2 linked regions of the Cricetulus griseus genome follow. The protein of the gene in region 1 purifies or fractionates together with the protein of each later gene. This does not show direct contact. Links are inferred from orthologs where the notes say so. Each region holds a gene or a part of one and is shown in the gene's direction. Other genes may lie near its edges.

The links.
Region 2: the proteins of Gipc1 (region 1) and Sh3bp4 purify together in Homo sapiens (affinity purification with mass spectrometry; 4 studies listed by BioGRID and IntAct, with this or other methods). This does not show direct contact. The link is inferred for Cricetulus griseus from reciprocal best matches to the Homo sapiens genes GIPC1 and SH3BP4.

The regions. Positions count from the first base shown.
Region 1 is NC_048596.1:160,761,547-160,765,709, reverse strand, and holds the start of Gipc1 (PDZ domain-containing protein GIPC1), read left to right. Parts: upstream 1-1,363; 5' UTR 1,364-1,489; intron 1,490-4,163. UniProt on the Homo sapiens protein: May be involved in G protein-linked signaling.
Region 2 is NC_048595.1:440,688,433-440,691,932, forward strand, and holds part of Sh3bp4 (SH3 domain-binding protein 4), read left to right. Parts: intron 1-965; coding exon 966-3,319; intron 3,320-3,500. UniProt on the Homo sapiens protein: May function in transferrin receptor internalization at the plasma membrane through a cargo-specific control of clathrin-mediated endocytosis.

The DNA.
Region 1 (4,163 bases):
TAGAATATCTGACATATCATTTTCCATTGTCAGAAGCAAGAAAATCTGAAGGACTCTCCTAACCTTTCTTGGCAAGGTTCAGCAGTCACTTTTTCTTGTGTCCTGTTTGTCTGGATTGGACAGCATACTTACTGTCAGCAGTCCAGGCAAGGGCAGCTCTTTACCCAATAGGCCAGTTTTGCTAAAAGGGAAACAAACTCCATATGGAGTGACTTCAGTGCCCATCATCCTCTCAGGAGTAGATCAGCTGCCAGGAGCAGATGTGTCTCATGTCAAAAGAATTTTAAATTATCAAAACATTTTAAATGTCATATTCTGTAGGTCTTTGAAGTGTTTGAAGATTACCAACCCATCTAAAAATATATCTCTGTATATCTAGCTAAACCTAACATAACATTAAGTTTGACTATTATAAACTGCATAAACATAGTATCATAAACAAGAGTAGAAATATAAATATAGCATAACAAAATTAACCTTAAGTTTATATCAAGAAAGTAAAATATATAACAATGTAAGTATTTTGGGATTAGCAGTTGTTTGGGGGTTAAGGAGATTCAATAATCTACCCTTTTCCCCATCATACATTTCTATGAGGGAGGAGGAAGGGGAGAAGGAGGAGGAGGAAGTGGAGGAGGAGGAGGCGGCGGAGGAGGAGGAGGAGGGGAGGAGGAGGAGGGGAGGAGGGGAGGAGAGGAGGAGGAGGAGAGGAGGAGGAGGAGGAGGAGGAGGAGGAGGAGGAGGAAACCTGCACTGGTTGGTCACCATCTATGATTCTGCACAGTACTGAACTGACAAGCCGACTGTTTAAACATTCTCCATCGTGTATTCTTACACAGCTTTACTAGCAAAGTGCTCTGTGGCTCTCTGTGCAGCTTCGGAGCCTTTGCACACCCTGTATCTCCATTCATGTGTCTGTAGAGCCAGGACCGAGCCTGGTACCAGGCAGGGGCACTTAAAGATTGAAAGACTGAATGAATGCACGGTTGCTTTGTCTATTGTGTAGAGTGGAAAAAGCAGAGACACCCGGGACCCTCCCTATTCACTATGGCCCACCCCCTGGAGTCAAAGCATCTTTCTGGGAGGGAAGCTGAGCGAGGGTGTGCTCTCGGCCGCCTCTCTGACCTCCCAACGAGCCCGCTTTCCTGGATGCCGAGCGCAGTCCTCCAAACCCGGTCATCTGACTCTTACTGCCAGCTCCCGCCCAGCTCCCCGTCCTCTCACCCGCGCAGCCCCTCAATGGTTCAGCCCGCCGCCATTTAGAACGAGTAAGGTCGGACCACTGCGCGTACAGGGGGGAGACCGAGGTGCGGCGGAGGGATCCCTCAGAGCGTTCCGACGGGAGGCACCCATTGGCCGCCAGTATGGGAGGCCGCCGCTGATTGGTCCGCTCGGGACGCCGGCCCCGCCCAGGTACGGGAGGCCGAGGGAGAAGCCGGGCCGAGTTTCCAGAGGATCGAACTGGGCGCGCGGGGTGGCTGCGGCGCAGGTGAGTGTTCCCCGGCCAGGGGCGGCCTCCCGGGCGTGGAGCCGTGGCGGCGGGGTGGGGCTGGCCGCGTCGGGACCCCAAACACGGACCCTTCCCCTCCGGCCGGGGCCTCCGGTCCGCCCCTGCCCTCTGCTCCCGGGACGCTCCCTGTTGGTGATGGGTCCCGACCCCTCCCGGGCCCCTGCCCAAAAGCTGGCCGCGGGGGCACCGAGGCCGCCGAGTCCGGAAGACAATAACAACCGCAGTAATAGTGCGGACCACCCCCCACCCCCGCCTCGCTAGCCCGGACCCAGCGCTTCCTCGTCAGACGCTTACAGTGCACAACATTGAATCAAAACAGCCTCCTGGGAGGGGCTGTTAACTTCTTTTAGAAGTGAGGGATCAGGGCCAGAGAGGTGGAGTGACTCACTCAAGGTCACACAGCTAGTAAGTGGCCGGTGGGGATGAGGGACCCATGCCTTGAGTCCAGAAACTAGTCCCAGAAGTCGTCCCTGACCAGCCAGCCACCGGACTCACTGCACACGGCCGCCCCCATATTCCCTTCGGAGCCGCACCTGCTGGGTTTTGCTTCCCCGAGCCCACGGGTCACTAAACAGCTTCCAAGTTGCCCTCGTGTCCCTTCTCTTGAGCTGGCCAGGCAAGGCCTGACGTGGGCCCTTTAATCCCATTCCCCCTCCACCCACCCTGTCTACTTACTGCGAAGAGAAATGAGCGAGAGTGAGTGTAGAGGCCGGGGCGGGGGAGCGGGGCAAGAGGTGCGTCCACTCGCCCCGGAAACACTGGAGAGATGAAACCTTTAGGATCCGGTTTTTCAAGAATGAATCAGAGGCCTCCTCCCCTCCTCCCCAAAGTAGTACTGTGCTGGGGGTTAGGAGCGAGGGACGACAGGTGTGGTGTCCCCTAAACTGGGAGTTATCTGAGCCCCAGGAGTCCCCCTCCCTGCTTCCTGCACCTCCCACTTAGCGTTTCTGTGACTGCAGGGTTGCTAAGTTTCTGGCCCTTCTTGGGATGAGAGCGCTGAACTCCGGAAATCCATCCAACCCACTTCCCTTCAGCTCCTTGCAGACAGCGGGGAGGAGCTCGTAGCTCTCTAGCAGTCATGTTGGTGGGGTTTGGTTCACAAGCAGGGTTATAGGACATTCACTCTACAGTTCACCTGCAAGTGCTAAGCAGCCACTGTGCCAGGCACCATGTTTTGCTTGGAGGGAAGTGTCCTCCAAATGCAGGACAGAATTCCCTGCATTCTAGTGGGGAACAGGCAACAAGTTAACATGGGCAGCCACTGCAGATCCTTCTAAGTGCTGAGTGACCTCTCAGAGATCACTGGGCAGGGGGAGATCACACACACACACACCCCAAGGCAGAGTGAAGTATAGAATAGCTGGAACAGGGAATGAAGCTATAGATGTGATTGAGTACCTGGTACAGAAAACACATTTTTTTATTGTCGAGTTTTCCCCTATACGGTGAGATTCCTTTGTGAGATAGGAGATGGTTTGCATTTTAAAATAGAGACACAGGCTGGAAAGACAGCTCACAGACTGCATGCTGGGAGTTCCATTCCCAGCCCCCACATGGTGGGTCACAACCATCTCTAACTAGTTCCTTTTGACCTCTTCAGGCACCCAAGTGATGCACAGGCAGACATGAAGCAAAGCTCTCATACACATAAAATTAAAATAAAATAAATTTTAAAAATGAAGATGCAAGATAAATAGCAGCCGGGACATTGAGAGACAAGCTCTGTCAGGGTAGCACACAGCAAGTTCATAGACCCTAGTACTGTGGTGCAGCTCCTGTGTGCGGGCTGGGCAAGCCAGCTGCCTGGAGAAGTCTGGAATAGGCCTTGCCAGCATAGGAACTGGGATGCTTCTAGGCCAGGGAAGGAAGGATGTGACCAGAATAAAGACTGAAGAAGTTTGGAGGTGCAGGTCAGCAGTACAGCCCCTGCCCCGAACCTGTGGGGGAGGTGTGGGTCGGCAGCAGAGTGCCTTCCAAGCAATGAAAGATTCTAGTTTCTGTCTCCATCACTGCAAATAATAACACGTCCAACACTTTCTGATGAGATTCCGTAAGTACCCAACAGACATAAACTCTGCCAGATTCTCAGGAGATAAAACTGCGGCCTCATGAAGCTAAGCAACTTGGCTTTGTCTGTGCCACTGGTGAGTAGCAAGGGTGGAACTTGAATCCAGGCCATCATCCAGGCCATGTGTCTCAGGGTCTGCATCATTGGTTTATTAGTCACTCATTTTCCTCAGTGCCTTGGGTCTCTCACCAGAGGGCACACAAAAGCTGGACTAAACCACAGCAGTGAATATGTACAGAGACAGAAAGGAGGCTGGGGAACAGGGTATGCGGTGCAGGACAGTGAGGAAAGACAGTGTATCAGCACACACCCCAATAGTATTGCGGGGACTGTCCCAGGCACACACATGCACTCACACACCCCCAATAGTGTTCCAGGAGCAATCCAGGCATATACATGGTTTCCTTTTTGATCAGACGAGTTAAGATATTTGGCCTAAACTGGGCAGTGGTGGCACACGCCTTTGATCCCAGCATTCAGGCAGATCTCTGAGTTTGAGGCCAGCCTGGACTACAGAGTAAGTTCCAGGACAGCCAGGGACTACAGAGTAAACTTAAAACAAATATAGAACAAGGAATGGTGATC
Region 2 (3,500 bases), on another chromosome or scaffold:
CATGCTCCGCTTAGGTGGCTTGCTTTGTCTGTTCCAGGTGTTGTCTGTGGCACTCACTGACATGGTGTAATGGGGAGGGCCATGCATTAAAGTGATGGCTTTTCAGGCTGTGCTCAAATGGTTGTTAGTGCATGGCAAGACAAACCTCTGATTATCAGGGTGTGGGGGTTTGATGCTTCAGTCATTTAAAATGGTTCAAAAAAACCCCATAAGAATCATTGTCACCTGAAGGAAGAGTGAGGAATGGGCTGGACTTTGAAACCGAACTGGTCCTGGTTGTCAGGGAGCTGCCCCTCCTTTTCTGTCTTCCATACCAAAAGAGAACAAGGACTCAATGACCTGTGGCTGGAAGCTGAGGGCTCCTCATTCCAAGACCATACTTGCAGCTTGCCACTGCCTAGCCCATAGCATCACTGGGACACTGCCTAGTCTATAGCATCGCTGGACCACTGCCTAGTCTATAGCATCGCTGGACCACTGCCTAGCCCATAGCATCACTGGGGTACTGCCTAGTCTATAGTGTCAGTGTGCTCTCCAGCATCACATTAGTCCCCCCCTTTCATAATAGTGACAATCCTGGTTAGAAATTAGATAAATTTTTATCAAAATGAGGTGTTCAGAACATAGGGACATGTCCACTGCCTATCATGTGATCTGTCTTTCTAGGGTGGTTGAGGGACATTCTTCTGGGTCCTCTGCCTCAATTAGAAGGTTGAATCGGAAAGTGGCTGAGTGGCAGAGCACCAGAGCACTCCTGAGTTACATTACCTGGGCCACGTGGGGCTTACATGAATCTTTACCCTGGATGGTTTCTATTGTTTCCTGGCAGGGCTGGTGACAATATCATGGCACCATCCATTTCTAGTCTACTGCACCTCTTATCCACCCGCCCTACCCCCACTTTGGAAGTGTCTCTTGTGCCTGTAGGCCTGACCTCACTCTCTCTCTCTCTCTGTTTTGTGCAGTGCCTTCTCCCAGTGCCTTGCTAGCAGACAACCCCACGCCTTTTGGAAACGCAAAAGAAGTGATTGCAATCAAAGACTATTGCCCAAACAACTTCACCACCCTCAAGTTCTCCAAAGGCGACCACCTCTACGTCTTGGACACGTCTGGTGGGGAGTGGTGGTATGCCCACAACACCACCGAGATGGGCTACATCCCTTCCTCCTATGTGCAGCCACTGAACTACCGGAACTCCACCCTGAGTGACAGTGGCATGATTGACAATCTCCCAGATAGCCCCGATGAAGTCGCCAAGGAGCTAGATCTGCTAGGGGGCTGGACAGATGACCAGAAAGAATCTGGCAGACCCTATAGTAACAACCCTTTCTGGAACGGAGTCCGAACGAACCCTTTTCTAAATGGGAATGCCCAGCCCAGTGTGGATGAGCTAAACCCCAAGAGTACTGTGGATTTGCTCCTCTTTGATACGGGCACATCTTCCTTCACTGAATCCAGCTCAGCAACCACCAACAGCACCGGCAACATCTTTGATGAACTCCCAGCCACCAATGGACTCCACGTGGAGCAGCCGGTCAGGCGGGACAATCCCTTCTTCAGAAGTAAGCGTTCCTACAGCCTCTCGGAACTCTCCGTCCTACAAGCCAAATCGGATGCTCCTGAGACATCCAGTTTCTTCACAGGCTTGAAGTCACCTGCCCCAGAACAGTTTCAAAGCCGAGAAGATTTCCGAACCGCCTGGCTGAATCACCGGAAGCTGGCCCGATCCTGCCATGACTTGGACCTGCTCGGTCAAAGCCCAGGTTGGGGACAGACCCAAGCAGTGGAAACAAATATCGTGTGCAAGCTGGATAGTTCTGGGGGCTCCGTGCAGCTTCCTGACACCAACATCAGCATCCATGTGCCCGAGGGCCATGTAGCCCCTGGGGAGACCCAGCAGATCTCCATGAAAGCCCTGCTGGACCCTCCGTTGGAGCTCAACAGCGACAGATCCAGCAGCGTCAGCCCCGTGGTGGAGGTGAAGCTGAGTAACCTGGAGGTGAGCACTTTGATCATCTTAGAGATGAAAGTCTCCGCAGAGGTGAAGGGCGACATCTTCAGCAAAAGTTCAGTGGTCCTACAGTGCCTGAGAAGTGACTCCAAGGAGGGGCCCTATGTGCCCATCCCCCTCACCTACAGCTATGGGGACACGGTACAGGTACAACTGGACAACCTGGAGCCTTGCATGTACCTCGCTATTGTCGCCCAGGGCGCCAACATCCTCTACCCCTCCACCGTATGGGATTTCATCAATAAGAGAGTCACTGTGGGTCTTTATGGTCCCAAACACATCCATCCGTCCTTCAAGACCGTGGTGACCATTTTTGGACATGATTGTGCCCCCAAGACCCTCCTGGTCACTGAGGTTACTCGGCAGGCTCCTGGTCCTGCCCCGGTAGCCCTACAGCTGTGGGGCAAGCACCAGTTCATCTTGTCCAGACCCCAGGATCTCAAAGTGTGTATGTTCTCCAATATGACCAACTATGAGGTCAAGGCCATCGAGCAAGCCAAAGTGGTGAGAGGGTTCCAGATGAAACTGGGTAAGGTTAGCCGTCTGATCTACTCCATCATCTCCCAGAACCCCAACGAGCTGTCTGACTTCACCCTGAGGGTGCAGGTCAGGGACGATCAGGACACCATCCTCACCCAGTTTTGTGTCCAGACTCCGCAGCCACCCCCCAAAAGTGCCATTAAACCATCCGGGCAGAGGAGGTTCCTGAAGAAGAACGAGGTTGGGAAGGTCATCTTGTCCCCGTTCGTTGTCACCACCAAGTACCCAACGTTTCAGGACCGCCCCGTGTCTAGCCTCAAGTTCGGCAAGCTACTAAAGACGGTGGTGAGGCAGAACAAGAGCCACTACCTGCTAGAGTACAAGAAGGGTGACGCAGTGGCCCTGCTCAGCGAGGAACGCATCCGCCTCAAGGGACAACTGTGGACCAAGGAGTGGTACATCGGCTACTATCAGGGCAAGGTGGGCCTGGTGCACACCAAGAACGTGTTGGTAGTGGGCAAAGCCCGGCCCAGCCTGTTCTCGGGGCCTGAGCTGAGCACCTCCGTGCTGCTGGAGCAGATCCTCCGGCCCTGCAAGTTCCTCACTTACATCTATGCGTCCGTGCGGACCTTGCTCATGGAGAACATCAGCAGCTGGCGAGCCTTCGCGGACGCCCTGGGTTACGGGAACCTGCCTCTCACCTTCTTCTGCCGGGCGGAGCTGGACAGCGAGGCGGAGCGGGTGGCGTCTGTTCTGGAAAAGCTGAAGGAAGACTGTAACAACCCTGACAACAAGGACCGGAAGTCCTTCCAGAAGGAGCTGGTGATGGTGAGTGTCCCGCAGGTGTCCAGACCTTGGGGTGTCCAGACCTTGGGGTGAGCTTCCAGAGGCAGACAAGCATGGGCCATATTGGGCCACTCACAGGGTTGGAAGTGTAGCTACAGGATCTTTAAAGACCCCCCAGGAAGGTGTCTTCTCCCCTCTTTATCAGCTTCTCTGTGGTCTTGGG